Tamandua tetradactyla: one gene and its partners. The protein of the gene in region 4 purifies or fractionates together with the protein of the main gene of each other region. This does not show direct contact. Links are inferred from orthologs where the notes say so. Each region holds a gene or a part of one and is shown on either strand. Other genes may lie near its edges. The genes, in order: TXNDC9, IRS4, HAX1 and TUBA1A.

Region 1 (7,456 bases), on a different chromosome or scaffold from region 4:
AAATTAGATACTCAGATTTAATAATAAAATCTAATTTTAAATGAACACTGTATGGCCAAGAAATTTAATAAAAGGATTAATTAAATACAAGGCTATACCATTGATTGTACACTTTGGATGAACTATACAGCATATGAAGATATCTCAATAAAAAAAATTTTTTTTAAATACAAGGCTATAGGATTAAGAACAGCTGAGTACTTTATTTTCTTTCCAAAAACTGAGATGTGGCTCAAAGCTTTATCTCTCTCTTGTTTTTTTTCTTTACCTGGGCAGGTACCGGGAATCGAACCCAGGTCCTCTGGCATGGCAGGCAAGCATTCTTGCCTGCTGAGCCACCATGGCCCGCCCTCAATGCTTTATCTTGATAACTAATAAGCAGCCGTTCATTTCACACACAGTTCAACCTGACCAGAAACAGTTGGCATAGGATCACATGAGAGAAGGCAACTAAGAATGACAGTAAAACCTTTAAAGTGAGGATCTTCATGAAAGATAGTAAAACCAGATAGAACATCCCATTTCATGCAAGCAAGATAAATCCTAAAATAGGACTTTCTCCTTCTAAACTTGTTTTCCATGTTGCATTCTTGTTTCTTTTACAAATATCATTTAACTACACGAAGTAAAAGCAAACTGATTTGGAAAACAGTGGAACTTTCTCCCCATCTCCCCAAAATATTTTCCGTAGAGTGCCAAAATAAAAAAGCCAAGCCGTTCTGGTCAAAGGGGCCCCTCTGCAAAATCCTACAATTTCTTAGATACAATTTGAAAGCCACTCAAGCAAAGAATTCTGGAAAGGAAAAGGAAGCAAAGAATTCTGGGAAGGGAAGGGAGGGGAGAAAAATACAATCTTCATATTGGCATATGAAAAAATATGTATGTTTTTCAATTACATTGCCACTACTTTCCCTTCAACATGAGCCAAAAAAATAAAGACTAGAGATTAGCATGTGTGCTGCGGATGAAGGGGGAAGTAGTATTCCTTCTCCACTATCAAATCAACCACTTGATACCGGCTACAGTGCCTGCAATTAAAACTTTACACCATGAAAAAGGTAGAATGGGCATAGCCCAAATATCCCTAAAGAGTGACAAAGATCAAAGGGAATGGTGGAGTTATAAAGAGAAGTAGGGTTTAATAAACGAGCAGACTGCTGAATCATTATATCGGTATTTCTTTAGTCTTCAATATCTTAGAACAGTTAAAAGTAAAAACCTAAAATTGTGGAAAGGCAACCCATACCAAACTGTGAAATGTGTTCTACAACTAATTATTGCTCTGTGCTTTGAAATTTATTGCTATTTTGTATATATGTCATTTTTCACGAACAAGAAAAAAAAAAGCCAATTGTGATGATAAGAAAGTATTTATTCCTTCTAGCCTCCAATGTTCTGGAGCAGCTAGAAGCAAAAATCCGAGATGAAGGTATGGTAGCACGTGACAAACTCTGTGATCTGTCCTGTAACTACTTGTTGAAGAGTACTTTGAAAACTACTGCTTTTTCTTTCTTTACTTTGTATATATGTTAATACAAAAAAAAAGTTAAAAAAAGATTTACACCACCTATGAAAACCAACGAATCATTAAGAAACACTACCTTTTCTCTAAAAATATACAAACAAGAATAACATCTTTTTTCCACTATGAAAAGGCATAATAAATAAAAAAATTCTGGAAAGTAGAATAACATATATGCACTTTTTATGCCACTAACTTCTGTAATCCTGATCCAAACCAATTAAAATACATACACACACAGAGTTCTCACCTGCCACACCAGAGACCCAGGTTCAATTCCCAGTGCCTGCCCATGCAAAAATAATAATAATATATATATATATTTATACACACACACATACACACACAAAATTGTGGGAAATTATTGAATAAATATTTGACGATATTTAAGAAATCATGTTTGTAATCCTAAGGCTTGATGAGACTGACTTTGTTTCATGTTTTTTTTAACTTTACTTTATCTTTCAGATACACCTGAAAAATCTACAGATGAAAAGATACTGAGAACTGCAAAATACCCAGCAGGTATATGAAACAAGGTTGGTTATGTACTAACAATGCTTGAAGTTGGGTAATATGTACATTTTTGTGTGTTTATTTGAAAATATCTCTCAGTAAGGGAAAAACAATCTTATGCGTCAAAAAAAAACCGCATCAAAACTACAGAAACTGTGTTTCTGGCTACTGTTTCTTATTCATCAGGTTTGATTATCAATAAGTCTATTCTCCAAACCAAATTAATTTTCTCCAATAAATCTATAACTGAGTTACAAAATTCACTTTAGTGTCTTTAATTCCACTCATTAGCTAGATGAGTGCCAAGTGAAGAAACAATCTAGAACTCCAACTTATAATTAGTACTTATCTGAGCTTCATGCCACATATCTATTTTGAGTCAGAATGATCAACTATTGGGATTATTTTCTTTTACCTTCTCTCCCTCTTGTATCTGAACTGTTTGATAGATAGGGTACAAAGGGGAAAAGTACCAGATGTTGTTCATTCCCACGAAGTAAACTCTTTCAAAGAAAAGGGTTCAAGGACTCAGTCGAATGTGACATAGATGTTTTAAGATTCTCCTGGTTAAGTAATTCTACGTACTCCCCTTACACTCCCTCCTCCAAAAAAGCCTTCATGTGGTTAGAAAGGAACGACCCTGGTTGGTCTAGTTCATCTACTCCTCCTCTCTTAGGGGAGGTGCTAGAGAGCAAAGAAACGACCAAAAGACAGGCCGGAAGAAGGAAAGCGAAAAGCACGGAGTTTGGACAATCAGCCCTGAGATAATTGATAACTATACCCAAATTAGATGAAGTTAAGAAAGAGTAGGCTGATAAACGCCTCTCTAACGCCGACATTCTTGACAACTCACAGTGCCGAAAAACTCGGAGGCACATATAACAGCTTGGGAGTCCCTTCCCATCCAAGTATTCACAGGTACAAAGGCTTAACCAGAATTCTTCCCGGCCCGCGCTGTGGAGAAGGAAGGAGCTCACATCCTTTCCAGAAGCAGCTCCGCAAAAGTAACTCCCGCCCGCCCGAGCCAGGTTGGCCCGGTCGCCCGAGACCCTCCCCGCGCGGCTGGGAACCCCCAAACGACTGCCCCTTTCCGAAGGCCAAGCGGCGCCTGCTGGGGACCCCTCTCCCCAGGCCGGGCGAGGGCAGGTGGGGCAGAGACCGGGCGGGGAAGACCAGCCCGCCGTCGAGGCCCTCCGCGCCCGTCCGGGACCCGCGCCGCCCACGCTGGGCCCAGGCCCGACGCCCCACGAGAGTCTCGCCGCGAGTCCCACGCCCGCACCCAGCCCCCACCCCCACCTCCGGCGGGACTCGCGAGTCCCAGTCAGCCGCGGGGGCCGCCGCCGTACCGACCCAGACAGTGGCTACCTGTCTTCACTCTTGTTTTTCTGCTTCTTCCCCATCGCGTGTCAGCGACGCTCGTGGCCTTGCCCCCTTTATCCGGTTTCTCGCGGACCCACTGCGCCCCGGCCGACTCTGGTGTCCACTCAGCTTCGTCCCCGCGAAGCTGCCGCCCCTCGCACCCGGCTCTCCACAGACCCGCGCACTGGGACAGGGCACATATGGTGTGAGTGCCCAATGCGCATGCGCGTCGCCCCGCCGCTTCGGCGTGGGGACGCAGCGCGCGGCTCATCGAGAGTGGCGCTCGGGGTAGAGCGTCTCCAGTTGGCCGCCGGACCGCCGGGAGTCCGCGCGCCCCCTGCCCGTCGATGCCTCGGGTTCTAGAACCGCGGGCCGGATAATGAGGCTGTCAGTCCCGCGTCAGCCCTCGCTCCTCGGGAAAAGCCACCGGGATTTAGCACTCGGTTCAGAGGAGGACTTCGGGCTTCTCTTCCACCTTTCACCCTCCTCGAAGGAGCCGAGAATGGGCTCTGGATGTTCCCGAGGGATACGAAATTCCAGCCCAAAATCGGGGCCGCTTCCAATGCCCATTGGTTAGGAAATACGCAGTCACTAAAGAAATCATGAGGCGAGGACGTGCCCACCAATTTACCCCGAGAAAGGTTTCGATCTTTATATGCAAAGCAAGTTCTCGTGGTAGGGAAGTCACGAAGGAACGTTCCGTGACCCGATCTGGGCTGCTGTACCACAGGGTTATGTAGGTGCAAGTCATATTGCGCCACCTAAGTGATGCCTCCACTGTTCAATAAACTGAATGGAAACGAACTTTGAGGCTCACTCTTGAGCAAGATCGAGACTACCTCATTTCTGACGTAGTGCTATAATGAGTACTTGGGCAGGGCGTGAGGTCGGACACTCAGGGTTGGGGACCCGGCGGCTACGGGGCGCACAGCAGACAGCCTCGTCAGCACGCCTTTCCTTGGACCCAGGCGAAAAGCAGCAAACAGGCTGGGAAGGGCGCGCATGCGCAAAGGCGCTCTCCGCCCGCTCTGCCGCCTCGGGCGTTTCAGGATGTATCGCGAGAGGGCTACAGCCAATGAGGAGGAGGGGGCGCCGGCCGGCTTGCAGCCACCCCCTCGGTGTGCGAGGGTGAATCCCGGCAGGGACCCTTTTCCGAAGCGGCTGCTCCGTCCCGCCTCAGGTATTACCGAGAGCTCAGGTGAGGCGGGGAGTGGCGTGGGAAACCCGCCACCGCGTCCCGACGCTGACGGACGCATCACCGTCCAACATCCGGCCGGCGCGGGGGAGGGGCGCGGCCGGACGCGGGGATCGGGGCGGCCGCGGAGGTTTTGGCGCGTGCGCCGGGGCACAGTTGAAGTGCTGAGGGCTGTGCCTGGGTCCGGCCCGTGGGGCCTGGCGTGCATTTGTGAGTGAGGCCCCTTTGTTGTTTTGGAGGTACCCACGGGAGTCAAGGAAATGGTTAGGTCATTGGAAGACTCGCGGTGTTGCTTCCCACCCTCCTCCTTTTGAGCGTAAAAAAGGGAAGAAGCGGAGGTTGGTGAAGAATGAAGTTAACGCGACCGCTACGCCGTCTCCTTTGACCTCCTCTTTCTGAGTGCGGCGACCACCGCCACCTGCCTCCAGAACAGCTCTTGTTAATCGTCTCTGTTCCTAGTTATCCCAGAATTAAATTCTGGGCTCATCCTGTGAAACTCCAGGGATGAGTGTGCGCCATGCCCCGAGTAAGAACAGGTTCTGATGTGCAAATCAGCGCCTTCATACAATCTTCTGGCTCATCTAGATCAGCTCCAGCGTTGCAGTGTGACTGACGGTTTTCTTCGGAAGTGTGTGTGTGTGTGTGTGTGTGTGTGTGTGTGTGTGTGTGTGTGAGTGGAATTCTTTTCTTGTATTTGAAACAGCTCCTTTTCAATTTTATAGCATTTATGGGACGCTTTCAAATTGGTTTTCTAACTTGATATTTGTGACAGTTTGAGCAGAAGCTAGGCACTTGTCCATTCAACATTAAATAGTTATTGAGCATCTACTATGTTCCAGGCCCTGTACAAGTAGCTCTGGGGATACAGAGATGAATTCAAGTGTATTTTTCATCTGCTTTTCCTGTAAGGAAAAAGAAAATTACAAGTAAAGTTTGCAAGGACAGTATTTCTCTTCAGTTTAACAAAATTTAAGGCGTCTCTGTAGGCCAGGCTCTCTGTCAGAGGTTGAGTGAGTTCGGTTTATTCACATTTTTTATGGTGCTTCAATCAAGTTTACAAATGTATCAGTTTGCACGAACTCCTGCTTTGATAGGCAAATTGTAAAACCTATCTTCATGGCAGTTAGCCCAGGAATTCAACTAAATAACATTGTTACTGGTAGAAAATAACATTTCTCTTAAAATATTTGAGATCTTCCTTTCTAATCTGAATTAATTGTTGGAAGCAGACAAATTTTTTTACTATTTTACCCAGAGGACTAACAATGGAAAATCAGTTTTTTTTAATATCTGTAGTGCTGTATTGTTTTACATCAAAGTTAAGAACACTGAGTGTCAGTAAATCAATACCTCTATCAGTTTTTGCGGCCTCATAGATTGTGTTAGGTAAGGGGAAAATAGAAATGGAAATAACACGCATTGTAATGAGATCTTCTAGGAGGTAAAGAAACTAAATTCGTTTGGGTAGAGACCATAAAAAACTCTCCATTTTGCTCGACTCTGTGCTGTGTTGAATCAAATTGGTATGCCTGGGAATGTGTAAACCTCAGTACAAATATGTTATTTCACAGTGATTTCTGCTTTACTTTCCTTTTCCTTTGGTAAGGAAAACTGATTGTCAGTAAATACCACTAGCTATAATTCCAGCTATTAATTTCTCTCTGGTCTGGTGATTGTCTTGAATACTAGCATTTGCCTTTTTTTTTGCCATGGGTAGGCACCAGGAACGAGAACTCTGCCACTGACCTGCCATGGCCCACCCTTGTATTTGCTTTAGTATAGCAAAACACAAATTAAGTCAGAAGATCCTAAATTTTGCTATAAGTAGTTTTTTGATTATATGACTGTAACGTATTAAAAATTTTAATTTAAAATTCTTAAGTTTAACCTGATGTGTATGGGTGTCAGCAGAATACTCTGCAGTACAAGTATATATATGCTTGCTAGAATTTTTGAGAATGGGAGAGAAGACTTTGTGTATTTATATTATTTTTTTCTAATTTTGTAAATCTTCCCAGCCCCAGGGCTGAATTGTACCATTTAGAAGAAGAATGGAAGGCGATGCATCTGTTGGCATGCTTTCAAAAGTCCTGGAGAATCAGTTGCTTCAGACTACCAAACTAGTGGAAGAACATCTGGATTCTGAAATTCAGAAACTGGATCAGATGGATGAGGATGAATTGGAACGCCTCAAAGAAAAGAGACTTGAAGCACTAAGGAAAGCTCAACAGCAAAAACAAGTAACCTCTCTGCCCTGCTTTCTGAAATTGCTATAACAGTATGCTCCTAAAAATTATATATACATGTGCTGCAGCAGTTAAATTCGGTCCTCTTTTTTAGGGTCTTTGAATTGAAAGTACCTACTGCTATTAAAAATTTGCTAAAAAAAAGAAAAAAGTTCTAAAGACACATTCAAAAATTAATCTAGTCAATTTATTAAACCACAGTTGAGTGAAAGAGAAGTTTCCTACCCAAGATCATTTTCTGAGCTCAGATTTGTTTGGTTGAGGAGAGAGTAAATCAGGAAGAGCACTGAGAACACTAGGAGTCGGCAGTTTCCATTTCAGGTAGAACTAATGTCTGTCATAATTTAGCTAGCTTCAGTGTAGGAATGGTGCATGAGATAAGAGCTATGGGGCAATTCATGTTGAAGAAATTATTTCAAACATTTCCAGTGTAACATTTATATGTGATCTCTTTATTCAAGGGAATGCATGCTGGGCACCAAGAAAAATAGCCACAGCTCTATCCCTGTTGTTCTCCTAGAGTGTATAGAACAGACTCATAGTTGTATGCTTACAGAAAAAATATGCACAAAATACGGGGTTCCCATATACTACCCTATTATTAAAAGAAATACTTTT
Region 2 (7,221 bases), on a different chromosome or scaffold from region 4:
CCACATTTGGGGCATATTTCTTCAATAAATGGTATCTGTTTTAAAGATATTGCGGCTGTTTAAAATATTACATTAGTTTCTAGGTGTAAAATACCAGCGGTAATGGTTGAGGGTTTTTTTCCCCTCAACTAACATGGGAAACTAAGAAACACTGTAGGTTTTATTACCACTTATCTGTTGCTTTAAAAATTTGCATTTCAGACCATAGGCTCAGAGACCAAACTTTATAGAAGTTATAATTGGATATGTAAAACTACTTTAGTGCTAGGATAACTTGTCTTAAAAATAAAAATAAAAAATTAAGAGACAGATATCTATAACCAAAGTAGAGGAACTATCTGCTGAGGTCAAGCCAAATACAGTCAGCATATTTTGCCTGAACTGTCTAGATTTTGCCTATGGAAACCTGAACTAAACTAAAAATTATTTTATACCATTAAGGTGTCCAGGAATATGAATGTTTAAATATACATCAGATAAGCTGTATCATCTGGTGCAATTCAGTAATGATGGTCTCCTCCAGAGAGTTTCAGTGTTGGAACAACTTTTATAACTGAGGTTTGGTTGAACTCTGTGAAGGAAATTATGTTCTTCTGGCCAGATGCTCTCCCTGCTCACAAGTACTCAGATCCTCTCACATTCTGGAAAACATATAAAGTAAAATCCCTCAATGAAACATCTCACTATACCTCTAATTCCATTGAGGTACAAAGTGATCGGCACTGCTAATCTTTTGTTGTATTAAAATATATATATATTCTAGCAGTTAACGTCATACTTCTTTTTTAATGCACTGATTCACACTACTTGTTTCCCCCTAGTGTAGAGAATGTCCTATAAAATACTGTTTAAGTGTGCTACATAAAATTTACCTAGTTTGAATGCCCCCTTATAAATTGTTGATACAAGAGAACTAAGTTAGTTCTCTCTCTAAAAGGGCATATAAGCTTAAATATATGGAAATCATAGAAGAAATTTAGAAGTATCTTGGTGACATTTGCTTATATCAACAGTTCCTTTTTAATTTGCGCTACAAACCTCATTGTGGTTTACACATCTTTCAAAACAGAGGGAAAATCAGGCTTAAATGTGGTATTTTTCACCAAGAGACTGGGAAAAACTTGCAACAAATATGATGAAGCTTTAATATCTTTATTATGTAAACAAATCATACATATTAATAAGAAACTAAAATTCAATAGATAAAGCAAAGGACATAAAAAGACAGCTTATAGAACACAGAATATTGTCTGCAAATTTATATGAAAACGTTCATCTACCTAGTTAAAAAAAAAACAATTTAAAAGAACAATGGTGTAGCATTTCACCCATCTTATCTATGAGTTTTTTTTAGAAAAATAAGCTTGTCCAGTGCTGGCAATGGGTATTGTGACATGGTAAACTGATACAATATTTTAGAAAAATAATTCATCAAATGTTCATACCTTTTAACAAAGGAATTACACACCTCAATTTCTGCCCCAAGGAGTAATTCTAAGTGCATGCACTTGCAAAAAATTGTAAGTAGAAGAACTTCACTGAATCATTATTTATAACATTGAAAAAAAAGAAAACCTAAATACCTCAAAGTAGAGGGATGCTTAAGTACATTAATTCACATTCGCTATAAGGAATGTTATGATACATTTTGAATGATTTTTAGGCTGAGCCATAATAGGTGGAAATGTTATGATAAGTGAAAACAGAATATAAAATTATATATATTGGAAGCCTACCACTATACATAAAAACTCTATATGCACAGAAATGAATAGGATATGAAGATTTTTAAATCTCTATTTTCAGGATTTTCCAAATTTTATGTAACATGCATTGTAAATATTTTTCAACATATTTTTAAATGCCATGTTTTTACTTGAAGTACGTTCTTTTCTTTTCCACATTTCTATCTAAAATAAAATCCTGTGCTCAGAAGGACTTATAATACACATTAATACCTACCATAAAAATCCCAAATGATTTTATTCATTATCTTTTGGTTATAAATGCAGGGAACATTCTATGTATGTGAGTAGGCAACTGAAACATGCAGGTAGCAGCCCCAGGCAGTGCACTCAGCATCCACACCCTTCAGCTTTCATCCCCTGCACCTATGAATATACTGTGGGGATAAATTGGTGGCAGCAGAGGGAATGTTAATGTTTTTTTCTAATTTAAATATAATATTTCGGGGACAATCAAAACCAATTGTTTTTTTCTCAAATGGGAACAATAAAAAGGAACCTTTCTTTTGGGGTATAAACTATACTGTTAGAGTGGAATTTACAGCATTCAATATTTATGTTCTAAAATAAGAAAAGATAAAAAATGACATCGTAAAGTTTCAAAAAAAAGAAAAAGAAAAAGGAGCAATTTTTCCAAATACATTTGCTTTAACAGCAAATTCTTAAGGGAGCAGGGATGGGGTATACTTTTGTGATGCACACATTGCCTAGTTTACTGTTAAATTTTACAAATAATACCCTTTGCAGCATCTACCCTACGGCAAGGGTGAACTGATATTCCATTTCTTTAGAATACGATATACCATATGTCTCCGTTCCTCCCTCAAACCTCCCTTTCAAATGCGGTCATTCCTTTGACACTTCAATGTAATCTTGACCCATCTCCGCCCAAAGGAAGCTGAAATCACAGCAAGACAAACTGAGAAACAGACAGAAAACTTGAGGAGGCTGCACTTACACTCCAGTTGTTTTTCCAGAAATAAGGGAGGAAGTAGTGCTTTTTTTGTGGTCTCAGATTGTAGACTGAAATTCTCTTCTTGACGCGAAGAATATGAAATATATTCTAGGATACGTATTCGGTTTGGCCCTTTGTTCTAGGTAGGAGCTTTTCTTTTTCTAAAGTTTCTTCGGGCTCTCTCAAGGAAAGGGCAACTTAATGTCTTGAGATTCTTTTAAAGGAGACTTTCAAAACATCTCCCACGGGGAAATAATCACGACAGCGCAAGATTGGTGAATTTCAGTAAAAATCGAGTCCGATTTTTTTCAACATGGCTGTATACTTCTCAGGTCCCCAAATTTGTGCCTTCATAGCCATCATTAATCAAAAAGTCAGAAACACCATCGTTTGCGAACCTGCGTTTCATGGGCTAGAAATGTGCTCTGAGAAGAAAAATATGCTCATTTTGAAGGCATCTCTGTTTTTTGAGTGCATTAGAGTCGCGCAGGCTTTTGTCACGGATGGAGCGGGTTTGGGAGCGCAGGCAGCCTGGTGGGCGGCAGGTCTGAGGGCCGGAGTCATTAACACATTTGCAGGGGGTACCGACACGCTCTCTCAGCACACTCGGCCAGCCGCGCGTGGAGGGTGGGAGTGGACCAGACCGTGACAGAAACAGAAACTTTATGTGAGCTGCACAGAGACAAAGAGGACGCCGGGCTCGGTCCACCGGTTACCGCAGCTAGCTCTAGGATGTGCGGTTTTATCACTACCATTAGCAGCTACTTGTGAAGGGCTGTTTACCGCCTGAGCGGAGCCCACGCTAGAACCCAAGTCACACCCACTCACCCCTCAACTCCCCTCCCGCCCCCTGAACTAATGAATTCAGGGCCGCCTTCTTCCAGACCCTCCCATTGGTTCTCATCCTAACCAATCGGAGCCCTGCAACAGTTACACCTGGCTCCTGCTTCCCAAATAAACAAACAAACCTTCCCGCGACCGCGCTAGTTCAGCTCCATGGCGCCGCCAGCAGCGCTCGCGCTTAGCCCCTACCGCCGCCTAATGCCCCCTCCAGCCAATCGCGCCCCGTCGGCGGCTCCCCTACCGGGACGCTACAGCTGCTCACGGCTCTCTCATCCTCCCGTCCCTCGACCCTCTCCCGCCCCCTGGTGCCTTCGTGACCTTCTCTTTACGACCAGCGTGTTCTGAGAGTTTTACCTACTCCCGTCGGTCCTTCCGCGCCCGCCGGCCCGGAGATTCACCTAAAGCGCCCTGGCCTGGCTGGAGGCAGCCCCGCCGCTCCCTCCCTCTCACACCTCCACAGACAGGGTAGCGCCCCTCCACAAGGCGGGTGGCACGAGCCGCAGCTGCCGCCGCGTGAGGCCGTGGTCACGTGTTGTTTTGCCCGCCTCAGCGCTCTAGGAGTGCAGTGGGCGGGGGCGCAGCGGAGTAGGGAGGGGGCTGGGGCAGGCGAACGGGGGAGTCGGCCTCTTCTCCAAGCCCCCGCCACCTCCCCCTCGCTCACCTTAAAACCGTCGTGCATCACCATGGCGAGTTGCTTCTTTGCTCGCTACCAAGCAACTAGGAGTCTGAGAGCTGCAGCAGCGGCAGAAGCAGCAGCTCTAGCAGAGGTGGCGACCACCCTGCTTCTTTCCTCAGAAATCCCGACCGCACTCATTGGGACCGGGCCGTCTTGTCCGGGAGCCATGTGGCTCTCCTTAGCCACTGGTTCCCGATCAGATTCGGAGTCTGAGGAGGACGACCTCCCCGTCGGGAACGAAATCTGCAAGCGCGGCTACCTGCGGAAGCAGAAGCATGGACATAGGCGCTACTTCGTGCTCAGACTCGAGACCGCTGATGCCCCAGCAAGGCTGGAATACTACGAAAATGCCAGGAAGTTCCGGCACAGTGTCCGCGTAGCGGCCGCCGCAGCAGCGGCGGCCGCCTCAGGCGCCGCGGTCCCCGCGCTCATCCCTCCACGGCGCGTGATCATCCTGTACCAGTGCTTCTCGGTGAGCCAGCGAGCCGACGCAAGGTATCGACATCTCATTGCCCTTTTCACCCAGGACGAATACTTCGCTATGGTCGCTGAGAACGAGTCGGAGCAGGAGAGCTGGTACTTGCTGCTCAGCCGCCTCATCCTAGAGAGCAAGCTCCGCCGCTGCGGCACACCCGGCGCACAGCCGGACCGAGAGCCTTCAGTGCCGGCGGCGGCGGCAGCGACGGCGGAGCTACCCTTCTACAAAGATGTGTGGCAGGTAGTAGTAAAACCCAGGGGGCTGGGGCATAGAAAAGAGCTGAGCGGCGTGTTCCGGCTATGCCTTACCGACGAGGAGGTAGTGTTTGTAAGGCTGAACACCGAAGTGGCCAGTGTGGTCGTCCAGCTCCTAAGCATCCGTCGCTGCGGACACTCGGAACAGTATTTCTTCTTGGAAATTGGTAGATCCACCGTCATCGGTCCGGGGGAGCTCTGGATGCAGGTAGATGACTGTGTGGTGGCCCAAAACATGCACGAACTGTTTTTGGAGAAGATGAGAGCCTTGTGTGCAGATGAATACAGAGCCCGCTGCCGCAGCTACAGCATCAACTTTGGCACCCACCTGTTAACACTGCTGTCCGCTAGGAGGCACCTGGACTTGCGTCCATTCGAGTCCGGTGGCTGGCTCAGAAGGTCCCGCTTTGAAGAGTTTTCCCACGTTGGGGCCATTGGTGACGGGGAAGACGAGATGCTCCTCACCAGGCCCTTCATATCAACCAACGAGCCTGTGCACCCCTCGAGGCGAGGAAGACTGCACCTGCCCAGAGTGCGCAGGTCCAGGAGAGCTATTTCATTGCCAGCCAACTGTTTACGCCACTTAGTACCCAGCCAGGTGCGTGTGGCGAATCCTGCAGAAACCCTGAATAACGGATCTTGCCTGATTTCTGAAGCACCTGGCTCTGGCAACTGTGGGGAGAAGGGCAGTTCTCAGGGCAAGGAAGATCAGCAAGGACGTGCAGGGGACTATATGCCCATGAACAGTTGGGGCTCAGGAAATGGCCAGGGCTCCAGTAGCCAGAGCTCAGGAGGAAACCAGTGTTCCAGCAGGGGGCAGAGGGCCAGAGGGGGCCAGAGCTCAAGTGGCAGCCAGGGTTCAAGTAGCCAGGGCGCCAGAGGAAACCAATGCTCAGGAGATGGTCAGGGCACCGCAGGTGGCTATGGCTCAGGCAGTAGTCAGGGAGCTGGAGGTGGCCATGGCTCAGGTAGTGGCCAAGGGCCTGGAGGTGGCCGTGGCTCAGGTGGTGGTAAGGGCTCTGGAGAGTGCAAGGGATCAGGAAATGGGAAAGGTTCAGATGGCAATAGTGAACGTGGAAAGTCTCTGAAGAAAAGATCCTACTTTGGCAAATTAACTCAAAGCAAGCAACAGCAAATGTTACCACCTCCACCACCCCCAACACCTGGGGCAGCTGTTGGAAAAGGGAAGTCTGGGGGAAGGTTCCGATTTTATTTTTGTGCCGACAGAGGAGCCACGAAAGAACGCAAAGAAGTCAGAGAGGTGGAGACACCAGAAGGTGCAGCTCGTTGTCCTCACAGAGCCAGCACGTTTGAAGAAGATGAGGATGACCCCTATGTGCTAATGAGGCCAGGGGTTGCTGCCCCTCTCGCAAGCTCCAGTGATTATATGCCAATGGCTCCTCGAAATGTCTGTGCTTCAAAAAAGTGCCACTCTCGATCACCTTTTGAAGATTCCAGAGGGTACATGATGATGTTTCCCAGAGTGAGTCTACCACCTGCCCCAAGCCCTCCAAAAGCACCTGATCCTAATAAAGAAGATGAATCGAAGGACAACGACAGTGACAGTGACTACATGTTTATGGCTCCTGGAGCTGGTGCAATTCCAAAAAACCCTCGAAATCCTCAAGGTGGCTCTTCCTCCAAAAGTTGGAGCTCCTACTTCTCCCTGCCAAATCCTTTTCAGAGTTCTCCCTTGGGACAGAGTGAGTACAGTGATTATGTACCAATGTCACCTGGAAAATTCCTGGGAAGGGGCCTAGACAAAGAAGCCTCACCTAATGGGGGGCCCAAAGGTGCACATTCAGAGCCTTCAGTTGAGGGGTCGTTCCCAAAGCCAGGAAATGGGGGGGCACCTTCAAAACCTTCAGATGATGTGCCCCCAAAGAACAAGGCTAAGAGACCTAACAGACTTACTTTCATTATGAAAGGAAATAAAATCAAGCCCAAACCCCAAAAGCCTATACTTGAGCAGAGAGAAGCAGACAGCTCTAGTGACTATGTCAACATTGACTTCACTATAAATTACAACAATATTGCAGGTCCCACTACTCAAGGACCGCCAGATTCGTGGGGTAGAATTGCTAACACCAGACAGTCAGCCTTTTCTAATTATGTGAATGTACAATTTGGAGTGCCATTTCCAAATCCAGTAAACGACCTCTCATATCTTTTAAGAGTTATTCCAGGTGCCAACCCCCAATTTCTGGACGGTGCTAGGTGGCCACTTCCTCCTCTTCCTCCCAGTGCTTCAGGGAGCAATGCTAATGAGG
Region 3 (7,451 bases), on a different chromosome or scaffold from region 4:
ATATTTGCCCTTATGTGTCATGTTTATTTCACTGCGCATGTTTTCAAGGTCCTTCCACGTTGCAGCATTTCTCAGAACTTCATTCTGTCCTACGGCAGAATAATAGTACAACGCAGTGTACATGTAACATTTTGTTTACTCATTGATGGACTAAAAACTTTTTAAAGGAGAAAAATATCTATTACTGTTTGTGCTCATTATATTTTTCTCTAACACACAATAAGGAGGTTGCAAGTCAAGATAATTTGGGAAGTCCTAGGTGTGCTAGAAAGTAAGACAACCTCCACAAAACAAAGCCAAGGATCTAGCACAAATAAAGGTTTTATTGGTCAGTCTGGGTGAGAAGTATACTGACATAACCCCAATTCACTGTTCCACAACCCCCAGCCCTCTGTATGGCAGGAGAAGCTCAGCCCATTATTGGTGAGCAACAGGTGGGATGTAGTAAGGAAAGAAGGCCTCTGAGGGTTACAAGGCTACCGGAACCGGAACCAACGTCCAAGGAATAAATCCAAGATGGAAGAAGCATCATCTAGGGCTGGAGGTCCTGGCAATTCTGGAAGAATACATACACACAGATAGGCTAAGTGAGCGAGTCCGTGCAGGGGCAACGGAGAGGAACACCATTAAAGGGCAGGAGAACAAGGGTTTCCCTTACCCGGGGAATTAAGAGATGAACCTCTTGATTCATGCACTTCACTTACCATATCTAGGACTGCCGTCTCCTTCTTGATGGGTTACTGTGGTCTTGGACCGGCCCTCACTGTCTACCACAGTCCGGCGCTCCTCCACTGTCTACAAGGAGTCCCCCAACACCCCTCATGTCACTAAAAGTGAGTTCAGTAGTTTCTTTACACAAATTCCTGTCTCCAGAGCATCCTCTGGACACAGTTTCCCTCTACCCCTCTCTCCCAACTCACCCCGTCTGGCTTAGTGATCTTGGTCACAGAGAAGCTCTTGAAGTATGATTTTGGCTGGGGTTGCAGAACTGGGCCAAGGCCCTCCTGGGAAACCTGCGAATCAAGATCTGAAAAAACAGAGATGAAGAAACAGGGGAAAAGAGTCCGAGGGAAAGAAGAGTAGAAGTACAGCAATAAGTTCAGAAGGGACAACAGAGAGAACTCTGAGACAACAAGAGAGGGCTGGTCAATGCCTCCTCCCTCCAGACTCACCATTGTCCTCTTTGGCTCTAGGATGTGGGGTCACAGGCCACATATTATCAAACTGTGGAAGAAGTCACAGTAGGTGAAAAGACACCTTTCTACCTAAAATTTGAAGGATCATGGCCCTAAACTACTCCAAAGTTCTAAAACCATCTTTCCCAGGAGAAAGAATTCCATTCAGGCTAGCTCGATTTACCCACCCCCCCTCCTTCCTAGCTTTCTTTTATGTAACCCTCTACCAAGAAGCTTTCCTGAACTGACACTTTCTGATCCTCCTCCCACAATCTTGCCTTATCCAGTAATTACCTGGACTGATTATTTAAAAAAAATTTTTTTTAAGAGACAGAACTTCCATTCCCTGCCCCCCCTCCACGAAAAAAAATTCTTATAAGAAATTCAATATACAAAACAGATAAGCACACTCAGTGGAGAGCCCAGAATTCCAACCCAAATCTATCAGTTTCCAACAAAGATTCCAGTCTTTGCACTCTACTTAAAGTCTTTCACAGGCTCTCACTTCAAGTCTAGATGTGGTACTCACCCTATGAAAAGGTCTCTGGAATCCCCAGTCTGGTGTTGATTTGGGGGATTCAGTTCCTGCGCCACTCTCCAAGACCCCCCCTAAAATCCTGGACTGGTGACTATCTGGATACTTAAGCATTGAGTCCCGAAGCGTCTCTCCCCCCTGCCATCTCTCACCATGGGTCTCTGACTCAGGACCTGGAAGTTCTGCAGAAAGGTGACAGATCAATGCTGGGCAGGTGAAAGGACGTGGGCTCTTTAAACTTCCTGAAGTTATCTTCTCACACTTCTCATCCCCCAGCTACTCCCTGAACGTTTCTTACATTGCCCACCAACCCACTAGAACCCATGAGTTCTCCCTTAGGAGTATTCACACACCAGGAGAGCGGGAAGGCAAGGTCCAGGCCCCCATTTCGCTGAAGATGCTATTGAAATCCCGTATTAGGTCATTAAAGCCGAAGTTATCATGGAAACGTATTCCTCCTCCTGGGCTGAAGCCAAAGCCAAATTCCTCAGGGGGATGGGGAACCCCAAACCTGGAGCTTCCATGGCTCCAAGTGTCTCCTCCTTCTTCCTCTTCCTCATCATCCTCATCTTCATCTCGGGTCATCCCGCCAAAAAAGGGATCTCTGTGGCTGGGGGTGGAGGTAGATTGGCCAGCAAGATTTTAGTATCATCAAGTGTTTAGCCTTTAATCAACTCATGGGTGGCAAAGTAGGGCAAGAAGGATCTGGTAGGTTGGGGAGAGGGCTGGCTGTCAAACCAAAACATGACAGCTGACAGTTTTTGTTTTTTAGTTTTTATCAAAGTCAGTCCTCAATCTCGCGGCTCTCCCCAAGCCCTCACTGCCTTTTCTCCAGTGTTCCCCAGACCCTCCCCTCTCTCCCAAGGTCCTGCTCACTGGCTCCTTGTCTTTACTTCTAGACCTCCACTGTCTTCCCCGCTCGGACCCCTGTTGCATCACCCCAGGTTGGAAAAAGAAGTGCTGTTTCTTCTCCTCTTAACGACCGCCTTGATTACTGTCGTGGGGTGAGTGCTGTATGCTGCGACTTTCGTCCTCTCAGCAGGAATGGGAAGAGGGTTTTTCCAAAAGGTTGGGTGTTAGGAGTCAAGCTCGCCTCAGAAGAATCCCCTTATCCGACCCGACCCACTCTCACCTCCGAGGTCCAGAAAATCCGAAAATGCCCCGGAACAGGTCAAAGACACTCATTCCCGCTTAAGAATACAAGCCTTGAACACCCGCCGGCAGCTCATTACACCGGGATCCAGCCGCACTACGCTACCGGAAAGCGAGTCAGACCAGGCTGCCAGAAAGCAAACCTGTGGCCCGGGCATGTTGTCGTAAAAGGGCGATAAAGGACGTAAAACGACGTGGACGAGAAGGCGGGGCGGACAGCCGATCCTCCTCAATCTCAAAAGGCTTTCCCTTGATCATCTTTCACAGACAAGTTTGAAGGTAGTGGACATATTTTCCCCCCAATTATCCAATTCCGGAATTATCCTATTTCGAATTTTTATTTTCCAATTATCATCTCCCTTCTAAGCTGTATCTTCTTTCCGCTTACCAGCCCAGTCCAAAAAGATGCTTCGAGAGTTTGATTGGATTTTATTTGGATAAAGCCGCCAGAGGGCAGCGCAAACGCCCAAATTGAACCTATGTGCGCATGTCCCTCACCCCTGGCTCACCACATCCAGAAGCCACCTCAGTCCTTCAACCTATTTTTTTACTGACCTGGGTTGTCTAATATAGTGGGTAGATAAAAGGTTTTATCAAGCCCCTTCTCGCATCGAATTACCCACAATTAAATAGATAAAAGGCATAAGGATACATAGATTTATAATTTCTCAATTCCACCAACCACCAGGGAATGTTATAAAATATTAATTTTCTGAAATAGGCTCCGAAGCCAGCAGAATACAGGATTCGTAAAAGAACACTGGAAGGAAAGGTAGTGAAGGAGTAAAGAAAGAATTTGAGGTTTTAAGTATTCTCTTTTTCATATCATAGACTACTTTCAGAGCCTGTCTTCATCCCTCACTCCAACCTCCACCCCCTGCCTTGTTCTGGGTTCCTTTTCAGGGGACTGGGTATAGCTATGCAACACCAAAGCACTCAAGAAGGAAGAATTACTATGTTCTTCCCTTAACGGTAATGGACCCAAAGCTTAAGTTCTGAAAGCCAACAGTACATGTTACCCTCACTTCTTTCAGTTTGCTTGGACCCCTGCATATTTTGACCCCACAAAGTCATTCCTTTGAAACAGTCTCAGCTCCTCCTTACGTCTTTCCCTCATCACCCAATCTCCTCTATTCCTCTCCCTCACTGCTTGAAATCTGTTGTAGATGTATCAGTTTCTGGAGGGAATGAAAAGTTGTGGTGCTTCTTTCCAGGCACCAGGCTGTAAGACTCTTAAGGATTAAAGGAAGGGAACCCCGCAAGGGCAAGACACTAGCACATTAAGGTCAGAGAAGGGCGAAGATTTCATTTTATTCCACTGCCTTTGAGGGCCTGCTAGAGAAGGCCGAGTTGGTACAGTAACACTTATTCACCAAGCTGGTCATCGACGAGACTGAGGATATCCTAGACGGAGCAAGAATGGGCAGAGGCTGAAGGTAGAGGTTTTCTTTTTATATATACAAGACACATTAATCCATTAAATTTGAGGACACAGTACAAAAAAAAAAACAAAAAAAAAAAAAACAAAAAAAAACACTTCAACGAATTCATCTGACAATGCTGTTCATATTCATGACGCCGTTTTTTTTTTGTTGTTGTTGTTTTGTTTTCCTAATAATAAAGGAGGAGACTTAGGGCTGTTGGGCTGATATATATTTGGGGGTCCCACCTCCCCATCTCACCCACACACCACCAGGGTGAACAGGAGGAGGAGAAGGAAGGGCAGGGCCCACAGCAGAGTTTCATAATCTTGAATGCATGGGGTAGTGGGGAAGAGGAGGAAGAGGAAAGGAAGGAGAAAAAAAAAAAAAAGGAAAAAATACAAATCCTATAATACATACAACAGGGTGGGGATGGTATGGGAATGGGACAGACATGAAGCTGAGGCATGGGGAGCTCCGCTGGGGGTGGGGGGCAGCAGAATCCCCCAACATTCCTTTTTCTCTTTGATGCTGTTTCCATAGTTGCCAGGCTGAGAAGCCCTCTCAGAAGATGGGGCCAGGAGAAGAGGGTCAGGGCCTCAGTTGGCCCCCCAGCTGTAGCTGTTGTAGGCAGACTTGTTGGTCTGGGGCTTCTGCGGGATGGAGCTGGTCTGGCTACGTTGCCCGCTGCCCGTCTGCAGGGGAATGGGAGGATCATGGGGAGGAAAAAGGTGTCTAGTTAGTGGGACAAGTCTGTGAGATCTTCACATGGAGATGTGGAAGTTGTCTTACGCTCCCATTCCCCTTGCTTAGAGGCTACTCTGAAGCCCAACCATGGAAAGTTCTGATCCTCCGAGTGGTTAGATCCCCTCTCTGACCAGCACAAAGGCACTTTCAGCCTTTAAATAGTGAAAAGATGAAAAGAGGGCAAGATACCTTTGGAAATGAGATGGTGAATCAGTTCTACTTATTTTCAATACCACCTCCCTCATCCCATCAGCCGCCCCTGCTCTGGGAAAAGGCTACTCTTTTCTACAGAGAATTACAGCCTCTCGGAGATGAATGATCACTAGTTGATTTCATTTACACTGATCTCCTCCATGAATGCCTCTATTTGGAAAGCTGTCTATGGAGGCAAGAAAGCCCCTAATCTAGCTCCTCAATCACCTACAATGGAGGAGAGGTCTTTTACACCATCCCACAGCTCCCCATCCCTACCATAAGTCACATCTGTGAGCCCTTCCCTTTTCAGGCAAGGTAGGAAAGAGAGTCTGAAGTCTCAGGGCTCTAGATGCTGACCCAAGAATCCTTTCCATTCCAGTAATCAAGTGTATACCAGAACTGGATCAGGGTGTAGAAGAAAAAGAGGGTGCTGAGGGAGGAAAGGAAAGAGGAAGGGGAGGCCAGAGAGCTCAGCAAGGTGTTTGTGTTTGTGTATCCCGATTTGTGACCGCGCAATCTCTTTTCTCTTCAAGTTCCCTGAGGTTGCAAAGATGAAATGGGGACTGAAAGGGAGTGGGTTCAAGCATATTATCATTCAGTTTCATTACCTGCTCCTCCTGCTGGCGCTGGCAACAGAGAATCATCTGCAAATATGGTAGCTGAGGCAGAACCAGGATATATGGAAAATAAAGGGACAAACTTTGACAATAGAACTCTACCATTAGAAGGGAAAGCTATAATGTTGGGGCAAGGGGGAAGGCTGGGAGAGGTAGGAGGGGAGGTGTGACCCAGGTCTGATGGGATGAGGACAATTGTGCCATGGGAGGAGGTAGAGAAAGGCACCAATGGAACTGAACAAAAAAGGTTTCAATCTGGCCCCTTCTCTGACATCTCCTTTGCCGGCCGCTTGTGTTATGTGCGCTTGAGTCTGTATGTGCTGTGTGCCCATGGCTGGCGCTGGGGAGGGACTGGGTGAAGGTGGTGGTGAGGAAGGGTAAGAGAAGGAAAGGGGAGGCAGTTTTAAGGGATAGGAAGGAAAAGGAAGGGAAAGGAGTAAGGGGGAAGGGTTATTACCTGGCCATCCTGCTGCAGGTGATGGTGAAGGATCTGGGAGTGTGGCTGCTGATGGGGGGTCAGAATGTGCATAAAGGGGGCAGGTGGGTAGGCAGCAGCTGTGGCCGGGTTGATGGGCCCCCCACTTCCTAGGGCTGAAGGCAAGTTGAAGGAGGCAGCAGGAGTACCGGAATGAAAACCTTGTTTCTCAAAGGACTGCTATCCAGGAGAATGGAGGAGAGAGAGTAAAAGGGATCAGCAAATTTATGCTTGGAATCTCTAAGCCCAAGCTCCCCAACCCCAAGAAAGCAGCATTCATGTTATACAAGGAACAATGCATCTGAAATCAAAGTCCCAGCTCTGCCCTTAATAGCAGCATGATTCCTGGGCAAATTACTCAATTTCGCAAAACATAAAATGAGGATGCTATTGGTCTACTAAAGTTTTGGTTGTAAGGTTCAAATGAGGATGGAAGTAAAAACATTTCTCAAAATCTAATGCTCTATATGAACATAATGAAATGTACTGACTGCTTTTAACAACTCCACCTCTGCAGTTGGGTAAAATTAGAATTCCTGTTAATATTTCAAAATGAGTACAAACTGAGGTGTTTTAAGTATTGAGGGTCTTGGCCATGAAGCTCTCCCCTAAACCCCTATTACTTTATATCAATCTTTTAATATTTATGATGATGGGGAATAAAAAGCAATACAAATAAGACCACCTGTGGATAACTCTAATGCCTCGTTCTTTAATTACTGAGTTGTCTTCTTCCCCACTCTTTAGTTTTATTATTTACTCACAAAGAATGGGATGAAATAGTTTCCTTTCATTCCATACTCATTCTCTCAGAAAGTTATGAGAAGGGTTGGGAGAATAGGAAAGTAAAGGAAAGGGCAAGAACAGTTGCAGACCCTCGCCGTTCAGCATACAAAAAAAAATTAAAAATTAAAAACTTTAATTAAATCTAAATATAATTTAAATATAAAAATATTAAAAACCTATTTACAATTTCATCCCAACCAAAAGGGGGAAAAGAAGTGTAACTAATAAAGTATCAGTGGCAGAGAGCAGCTACTCTGGAGGTTGCTCTTACGCAAGCTTCAGTTAGACACTGCTACCTATCATAACCTGCCAACCCCCAACCAGGACCATTCCAGCCAATCCTAAAGA
Region 4 (7,796 bases):
ATCAGCAGGGAGGTGAACCCAGAACCGGTTCCCCCACCAAAGCTATGGAAAACCAAGAAGCCCTGAAGACCTGTGCACTGGTCAGCCTGTTAGAAAAGAGAAGAATAGGGAAAAGATAGTTATTGTTCTTTGTGATACACGCACAGTAAATGTATTTTCATTCTTCATACATCTCCAAGTATATAGATATTACTTTGACAATAAACATTTTTTAAATGTAGAAATTAAAATTACTCAGGAAATTACTCAGGATTTATTAATTTAAAAAATCTTCATTAATATTTTTAAAATGATACCATATCATTCATGTTTTAACTGGGTTTTTTAAAAAACCTAAAGGAATAATTCATCTCTTTATTATATTTCAATGTTGTGTTTGAAAAAAACATTTATTTCAGATGTCTTCCTTAGGTTCATTACTTTACTGTATTCTTGAGAAGAAACACATACCAGTTTGCGAATTCTGTCCAGAACCAGGTCAATGATCTCCTTGCCAATGGTGTAGTGCCCGCGGGCATAGTTATTGGCAGCATCTTCCTTGCCTGTGATGAGCTGCTCAGGGTGGAAGAGCTGGCGGTAGGTGCCAGTGCGGACTTCATCTGGAAAAGGAAAGCAAAGCGCAACCCATCATTAACAACCTGCACAAGCCTACTTAACCCTGGGGCATAAATGGAGCGTCCAGGACAGACCTGTCCCAGACCCCTGCAATCTCACTCAGGTTACTGACTTCCACTCACCAATGACTGTGGGTTCCAGATCTACAAACACTGCCCTGGGCACATGCTTGCCGGCGCCTGTCTCACTGAAGAAGGTGTTGAAGGAGTCATCTCCTCCGCCAATGGTCTTGTCACTTGGCATCTGGCCATCGGGCTGGATGCCGTGTTCCAGGCAGTAGAGCTCCCAGCAGGCATTGCCAATCTGGACACCAGCCTGGCCGACATGGATGGAGATGCACTCACGCTGTGCAAAGGGAAAAAGAAAAAAATGTGAAGTTAAGCTGTATTAGCATTTTGAATTTTCAGTATACAGGTATTCTTCAAAAAGTTTTGAGGTCTTATCCCTAACATAACAGAAATAAGTAAGAAAAAGCACCTGCTACAACTGCGGCAGATGGGTGTGGTCCAAATGATAATGTGCCTGTTTAGCACATGGTACAAACCCATTGTTCCCACAGTCATGCTTGAGTAAAGATTTTTCTTATTTAAAAATACACGAAGTATAGACTTAGTAAAATGAAGTAAATTAAATTAAATGCTAAATTAACTGGAATTCACTGCTTCCTTCCCCTTCTAATAAAGATTAGGGTTTTGCCTAAATGAGACTTGATGTCTAACATTGACATCTGCACTGCAGCTGGGGCTAACTGCCACACCCATCTGCAGTCTATCTGCAGAATTCATGGATACTAGGAGATGAGAAGCTAAACAAAGTCTCCTGGCATTGCTGCATTGCTGCATTTGCTGTGCTGGTGCTAACTTGTACTGTCTGCTACATTATTTAACAGAGCAAGCTCTATTTTCAGCAACCGCCTACATGATCTCATTGTGCTGTTTTGCCAGTTTTCCTTCTCTGACCCAGCCTGGGACCAATGTGCCCGAATTGAAATGAATTAATGAAAAGGCACTAGAACAAAAGACATCTGGATTCAGAGTATAATCCAGTCTTCTTTGTCTGCAGAAATTTAGTTACTTAAAAAAATGCTTTTTCCAGAATCTTCTCCAGTTTAAAAAACCTGAAAAATTATGTTTAAAACAGCAGTTCCTAAATTGGAAACAAGTAACACAAGAGAAGCTACCAAACAAAGGATAAAAACCCAGTGAGACGATAATGAAATATTTATTTAAAACAACAAAATATTTTAATTCTGAGATTCTCTACCCACTACAGAATATTTCATACTCATCACATTCCGTAGATTTTCTTCTCTATGTCTTTAAGACAACTTTCATTGTCTATTCATTGTCTAGTATGGGGGTGGGGGTGGGGAAGGGCGTTTCCCTGAGTTCTGGCCTTATAGTGCCCTGGCTCACAAAGTGCCTTTCTCCCTCGGTGAACGTAGCCCAGAAGGACGGACGCACGCAGACACACAGACACACACACGTCGGCATCCCCAGACCAGACACTTAAGGTCTTGTCAAAAGTGAACTGTGATTTTGCTTTTTAAGAAAAATATATTTCATCTAAGTTTTAACAGTGAATGAAAAACCTTTTAACGCCTACAGTTTCGCAATGATTAAAAGTTTTTGTTAGAAGTCTTCTCCTTTTACGAGGGCGAACCCCGCCCAGTGGCTGCAACGCTAGAGAAGCAAGAAACAAACAACTCCGCCCCTGCGCCACGCTTACGCCGCCGGCGGTGGGATCCAACAGAAACTAACAATTTTATCCCGTTACTATTCGGGGGTCTGCCTAGTATACCAACGAATCCGCGAGAGACCTTTTTGCATTAATTGAAAATTTTGCTTTTCAGACAACTCCCCTCCCTGTTCCTGGAATACGAAGCGACAAAGAAAAGAGCACATTCACCGACATACAAGCAGGCGACGCCACGATCGCCTTTTTCCGGCCCCAGACCTTTTCATCTTCGACAGAAGGCCTCGGCATTTCGCCCGTTTGCGGTACTGTAGGGCTCGGGTGACAAAAGCTCCCTCCCCGTCGCCTTTGTTCCCCCCCCCCCCCCATCCTTCTCTGCGCTGTGGGCGCAGTTCTTGCTTGGCTCCCCCACCGGCACTGCGACAGCCAGCCTTAGAGCTAAACCTCTTAAACAAAGCAAAGAGATTGCGAAGGAAAATAGTTTAAGGTTTTCCGAGTAGAATGGAGATCTGATCTTACCAAACTGCCGCAGAGGGCCGGAGAAAATAGATACTTACCATGGTTACTCCTTGGCGGCTGCAGAACAGATGGCGGAGACGAGGAGGAGAGGTTGTTGCTTCTTACAGCGCGACTCTTAGGCGGTCGATGTAAGAGAACCTACGGCACATGGGCGAATGCGGCTCCCTATATACAACTCGGTCACCATGGGAATGGACCGGGGCCTTTTCCTGTTGGTCCAGACCCCTCAGTCTGCCCAGAGAAGCCACAACAAGAGAGTGGTGATTGGTGCAAGCGACATGGGATGAGGTAATCTCTCCCCCACCCGTTTCCCCCCAGCATCCATAGACTGTTTGCATCCTTCAGACAAAGAGACCAAGGAAAAGGAGTCAACCGTGTATCCATGATGGGGTGGGGTCGGGGGGAAATGGGAGGAAAGAGGAGTGGGGTTGAATGATTTTATATTTCACAGTCAAGCTACAGTTAAAATCAACCATATAGAGGTTTTTTTTTTCCTACACTTAATCACAGAATGTGAGATGAAATATTTAATGGAAAATTAATCCCAATCTCTCCTTGATAGTATACTAAGATCGACTATATTCAACGAAGATTCAATATCCCTAATTGCTTTTAAAAGGAAGGAGGAGAATATGGGAATACAGTGTTTTTGTGCATGATTTTTTTGGTAAACCTACAAGTTCCCTAATCAAAGTTTTTGTTTTTGTTTTTTTTAAAAAAATTAAGTAGGAGAGAGGATGGGAGTGATGCTTAAAATGGCTTCAGTAAACTGGGTTTTTTTTTTTTCATTTTAAAAATATTCAGTAATAGAGCCATTCCAAATGGTTTCTTGGGTGAAAGTATTTTATTTTCAAACCTTCGTTTCCACCCCTTCCCCCATAGCTGAACAAAAATGAAGGAGGAAAGAATGACCATACTAACAAGGCAGCGCACAATAGTGTTAACTTGGCAGTATTTGGAATTTAACATAAATAGTGAAATAATCTACTGGAAATAGTCTTTTACCAGAAATCTATGTAATGTTTTTTGTGTGGCATATTGTCCCTAGAAATGAATCATTGTCCTGATATAGAATTGAAAAAATACAAGGAGAAAGAATTGAGTTCAGAAGCTAAACTACCTGTGTGTGTGGTTATATTTCTGCATTGTTCTCTTTTTTGGAACGTAATAAGCAAAAATAATAACTGAGACACCAAATTAAAAAGAGGAGATATGTAACGTAAAGAGAAGACCATCTTGAAGTGTTACCTCCATTCACTGTTTTGTAATGTCAGCTCAACAACTGCATTTCTTTTTTATGTAGTTCTTATGTGAGTTCAATAAATACCCTCTTCTGCATTTGGCTTCTAACTGTGGGAATTGCAATCAGTCTCACACGGTTGCTATTCAACCAGAAGCTCTGGTTGTTGCTCAGTTGCCCACTGGGGACAAAAAAGGCTTTGCATTCGCCCCCCACGAAATGGATTACAGTAACATTCTTTTGCTATTTAGAAAGTTTCCATTATCAACAAGGATGGGCAGTGCAGAGTAAGTCTCTGGCCTGAGTACCAACCTGACTTGGCTGATGAAATTTCATAATTTAAGAGGTTATTTTTTGCCACTAAAGTTGGAAAACTGTATTTAGGCAGATAATGTTTCCTTTAGGTAACAGATTTTCAAGGTCTGCAGCATCATTTACAGTGCTGTGCAGAACACATTCATTCCTGCCTGTCTGGTAGGCAGAGCAGGTTATAGGAGGGAGGGCCTAGAGGAGACAGCTGCTGCAGGTTGTGGTGTGTCAGTGGCGGCCATGAATTTTCCCAACCTACCATCTACAGCTCTGTTTTACTTGTTCTAGTCGTCTCTTAAAAACAAAAACAAAAACAAAAAAACCCAGCACACAAGTCATTTTATCTACTTTTTACATATTTCATAGGAAAATGTTGCTCAACATAATTTTATCTCTATCCCGTTAGCAAATAAAAGTATATTTCAATAAAGAGAAAGGATTAAGGATGGCTTGAATCCCATATGCTTCTTTCTGAACCCAGAATTACATTTAACCACCAAAAATAAGAATTAAATGGTAGAGGGGAGCATAAAGACTTATAAGTTACGCATTTCTTTCAAAATCTAAATGATGAAAGATATAAGACAGGGCGAGACTATGGTAAAATGAATAAGTTTCCTTTTGGAATGAGAGGCACAGCCTTGAATTTTATTTTCTTTACAATAGAAAAGGTTAAGAAATATATCATTTCTGCATTAGTCTCAGTTCTTTATACGGTTTACGGAAGATTGAATAAAAGAGAGGAGGTTCCTGCAGCTGATTCTTTGTAATTCTATCTCAGAGCCATTCTGTGTCTTATGTAAATGAGGTGTTTTTTTTTCTCTTGGGCATAAGTAACAATAAGATATAGGTCAGAAATACACTATTTGACAACTGGTAATCTATTAAATATAAAAATGCAACAGCATGGGGAAGTAATTAATTTGTTCTTTTTGTTCCTCATTATCTGACTTAATAGCACGCAAAAAGTATGTTTTTTATTAGTTCACGTCTTATTTTTACTGCCAGTTCCTGACATCAGTTTACGTGTAAAAGTAATCTGTTATAGATTTGTTCCTGTACATAGTAAGATTAGTATAAAATATTGCTCTTTTGAGGTATTTGTGGAATTTTGTTTTATTTATTTGCATGTCTGTACCTTTCCTCCATTAAAATGTGAGTCCTAGTCCCTAGGAAAGTGTCTAGCATAAGTAGACATTAATTACATATTCTTTGAATTAAATAATTAAATGGACAGCTTCTCTCTGTGCATATTTCATTTACTATTATCGTGGTGAATAATTTAAAGGTCTTAATAGAGTATGTTACATTTTATATTCAACACCTATTTATGAGAATCTACAGTGAGCACCAGTGTGGGGAATTCAGAAGTAGTTGCATAGACATTTTTCCCTAGAAAAATGGAAAAAAATTTTCCAGTCGAGTTGAAGAAGTAAGACATGTACATGTGTATTGGCTTGAGACTGACATGCTTTTGTATGTGTAGGGTGATGGAACATTTGTAGACTCCATTGCAAGGTCCCATATATCATAACTTATGTAGGAAACAAGAGAGTTGTCTAACACATTTTCTTCTATTTCTTCACCTCCTGTTCATACCTAAATCCATTCCCACCTGAATTCTGCTCCAATTTCCCCTTGAAACCAAATGTCCTCCACTTTTGTTGTTAAATCCGCTGCACAAATTTTTGTTCTTGTTGACTTCTGATAAACTTTGCTTCTATTAACTATTTTCTCTTTCTTGAGACATTTTCTTCCTTTCATCTGCGTTTTCCTGGTTTCCCTCCTACATCTTTGGCTGTCTTTACTGGTACCACCTCCTTTTTCTAAACTTTAAATGTTGACATTTCTAAATGTTCAACTCTAGCCTTTTCTTCATTTTATTCCATGTTCCATAGATGATCCCATACATTCCTAGAATAAACACATTCACTCTCAAGGTATCAAATGCTTTTTTTATGTTGATGATTTCTCAGCATCTCTTCTTAGCTCCAGATCATATAGTAAACTTCCAACCTCTAGCTTGATATTTCACAGATATCTTAAACTAAACTAGTGGTCTTCTTCCCAAACAGGCACTTCTTACAAGGTTCTCTTGCTCAGTAAATGGAGCAGCATACACCCCATCTCTCAAAAATAGAAACCTGAGAATTATTCTTGACCCCTCCATCTCTTTTTATGAATACCACAGAATCTGTCATTAAGCCCTGTCAAGTCTATCTATTAAATAACTCTCAAATTGTATTCTTTTCTCTCTGCCTTTATTGCTTCCATTTAGTGCATCCTTTCTTGCCTGGATAACCTCAGTAAACTCCTAGAAGATTTTCTGCACATTCACCTCTCACTTCTAGACCCCCCACCCACCAGCAGCCACAGTGATCTTATTAAAGTACATATTTGATCATGTCACTTCAGTAACCTCCTAGAAGATTTTCTGCACATTCACCTCTCACTTCTAGACCCCCCACCCACCAGCAGCCACAGTGATCTTATTAAAGTACATATTTGATCATGTCACTTCACTGCTTAAAGCAGTGCAATGGCTGTGGATTAGTTAGTTTTTTTTTTTTTTTTAACTTTTTTTATTGTATAGTATATAACATATACACAAAGCAAAGAAATAAAACAGCAATAGTTTTCAAAGCACTCTTCAAAAAAGTGGTTACAGGATTGATCCCAGAGTCTGTCATGGGCTACCATATGATACTCTCATATTTTTCCTTCTAGCTGCTCCAGAATATAGGAGGCTAGCGGGCTTAAATACTTTTTTATCATCACAATCGACATTTTTTTTCCTTCTTTTTTTGTGAACAATAACATATATACAAAAAAGCTATAAATTTCCAGGCACAACAGCACAATTAGTTGTAGAACATATTTCAGACGTTGACATCTGGAGTTTGTAGGTTTCTAGCAAGTTACTCTAATGCCTGGAACCCTTGTGGAATCTTATATATTGCCCTAGGTGTTCTTTAGGATTGGCTGGAATGGTCCTGGTTGGGGGTTGGCAGATTATGACAGGTGGCAAGGTCTACCTGAAGTTTGCATAAGAGCAACCTACAGAGTAGTCTCTCGACTCTATTTGAACTCTCTGCCACTGGTACTTGATTAATTACACTTCTTTCCCCCCTTTTGGTCAGGATGGAATTGTTAATCCCACGGTGCCAGGTTGTGATTCATAAATACTGTATGGGGAAAATTTGGGGAGAATTGATATCTTAACTATATTTAGCCTTCCTATCCATGAGCAGGGAATGTCTTTCCACCTATTTAGATTAGCAATTTCTTCTTTGACCCACTGGTTATTTAAGAGTGTGTTATTTAATCGCCATATATTTGTGAATGTTCTCATTCTTTTGTGGTTTTTGAGATCCAGTTTCATCCCATTGTTATCAGAGAAAGTGCTTTGAATAATTTC

Evidence for each region.
Region 1: the proteins of TUBA1A (region 4) and TXNDC9 purify together in Homo sapiens (affinity purification with mass spectrometry; 3 studies listed by BioGRID and IntAct, counting the BioPlex papers as one, with this or other methods). This does not show direct contact. The link is inferred for Tamandua tetradactyla from reciprocal best matches to the Homo sapiens genes TUBA1A and TXNDC9.
Region 2: the proteins of TUBA1A (region 4) and IRS4 purify together in Homo sapiens (affinity purification with mass spectrometry; 3 studies listed by BioGRID and IntAct, with this or other methods). This does not show direct contact. The link is inferred for Tamandua tetradactyla from reciprocal best matches to the Homo sapiens genes TUBA1A and IRS4.
Region 3: the proteins of TUBA1A (region 4) and HAX1 purify together in Homo sapiens (affinity purification with mass spectrometry; 3 studies listed by BioGRID and IntAct, with this or other methods). This does not show direct contact. The link is inferred for Tamandua tetradactyla from reciprocal best matches to the Homo sapiens genes TUBA1A and HAX1.

Annotation. Positions count from the first base shown.
Region 1 is NC_135343.1:4,925,734-4,933,189, reverse strand, and holds the start of TXNDC9 (thioredoxin domain-containing protein 9), read left to right. Parts: upstream 1-4,446; 5' UTR 4,447-4,577; exon of another isoform or gene 4,578-4,595; intron 4,596-4,690; exon of another isoform or gene 4,691-4,802; intron 4,803-4,811; exon of another isoform or gene 4,812-5,118; intron 5,119-6,610; 5' UTR 6,611-6,643; coding exon 6,644-6,832; intron 6,833-7,456. Other genes in the region: EIF5B (eukaryotic translation initiation factor 5B), read right to left, coding at 3,404-3,438. UniProt on the Homo sapiens protein: Significantly diminishes the chaperonin TCP1 complex ATPase activity, thus negatively impacts protein folding, including that of actin or tubulin.
Region 2 is NC_135353.1:62,443,970-62,451,190, forward strand, and holds the start of IRS4 (insulin receptor substrate 4), read left to right. Parts: upstream 1-4,221; 5' UTR 4,222-4,226; coding exon 4,227-7,221. UniProt on the Homo sapiens protein: Acts as an interface between multiple growth factor receptors possessing tyrosine kinase activity, such as insulin receptor, IGF1R and FGFR1, and a complex network of intracellular signaling molecules containing SH2 domains.
Region 3 is NC_135330.1:7,218,552-7,226,002, reverse strand, and holds HAX1 (HCLS1-associated protein X-1), read right to left. Parts: upstream 3,008-7,451; 5' UTR 2,896-3,007; coding exon 2,843-2,895; intron 2,321-2,842; coding exon 2,064-2,320; intron 1,893-2,063; coding exon 1,705-1,892; intron 1,225-1,704; coding exon 1,173-1,224; intron 1,028-1,172; coding exon 921-1,027; intron 796-920; coding exon 705-795; intron 557-704; coding exon 477-556; 3' UTR 304-476; downstream 1-303. Other genes in the region: UBAP2L (ubiquitin-associated protein 2-like), read right to left, coding at 4,883-4,978, 5,834-5,884, 6,300-6,497. UniProt on the Homo sapiens protein: Recruits the Arp2/3 complex to the cell cortex and regulates reorganization of the cortical actin cytoskeleton via its interaction with KCNC3 and the Arp2/3 complex. Slows down the rate of inactivation of KCNC3 channels. Promotes GNA13-mediated cell migration.
Region 4 is NC_135333.1:110,096,264-110,104,059, forward strand, and holds the start of TUBA1A (tubulin alpha-1A chain), read right to left. Parts: upstream 3,016-7,796; 5' UTR 2,871-3,015; coding exon 2,868-2,870; exon of another isoform or gene 2,698-2,867; intron 961-2,697; coding exon 738-960; intron 600-737; coding exon 451-599; intron 87-450; coding exon 1-86. UniProt on the Homo sapiens protein: Tubulin is the major constituent of microtubules, a cylinder consisting of laterally associated linear protofilaments composed of alpha- and beta-tubulin heterodimers.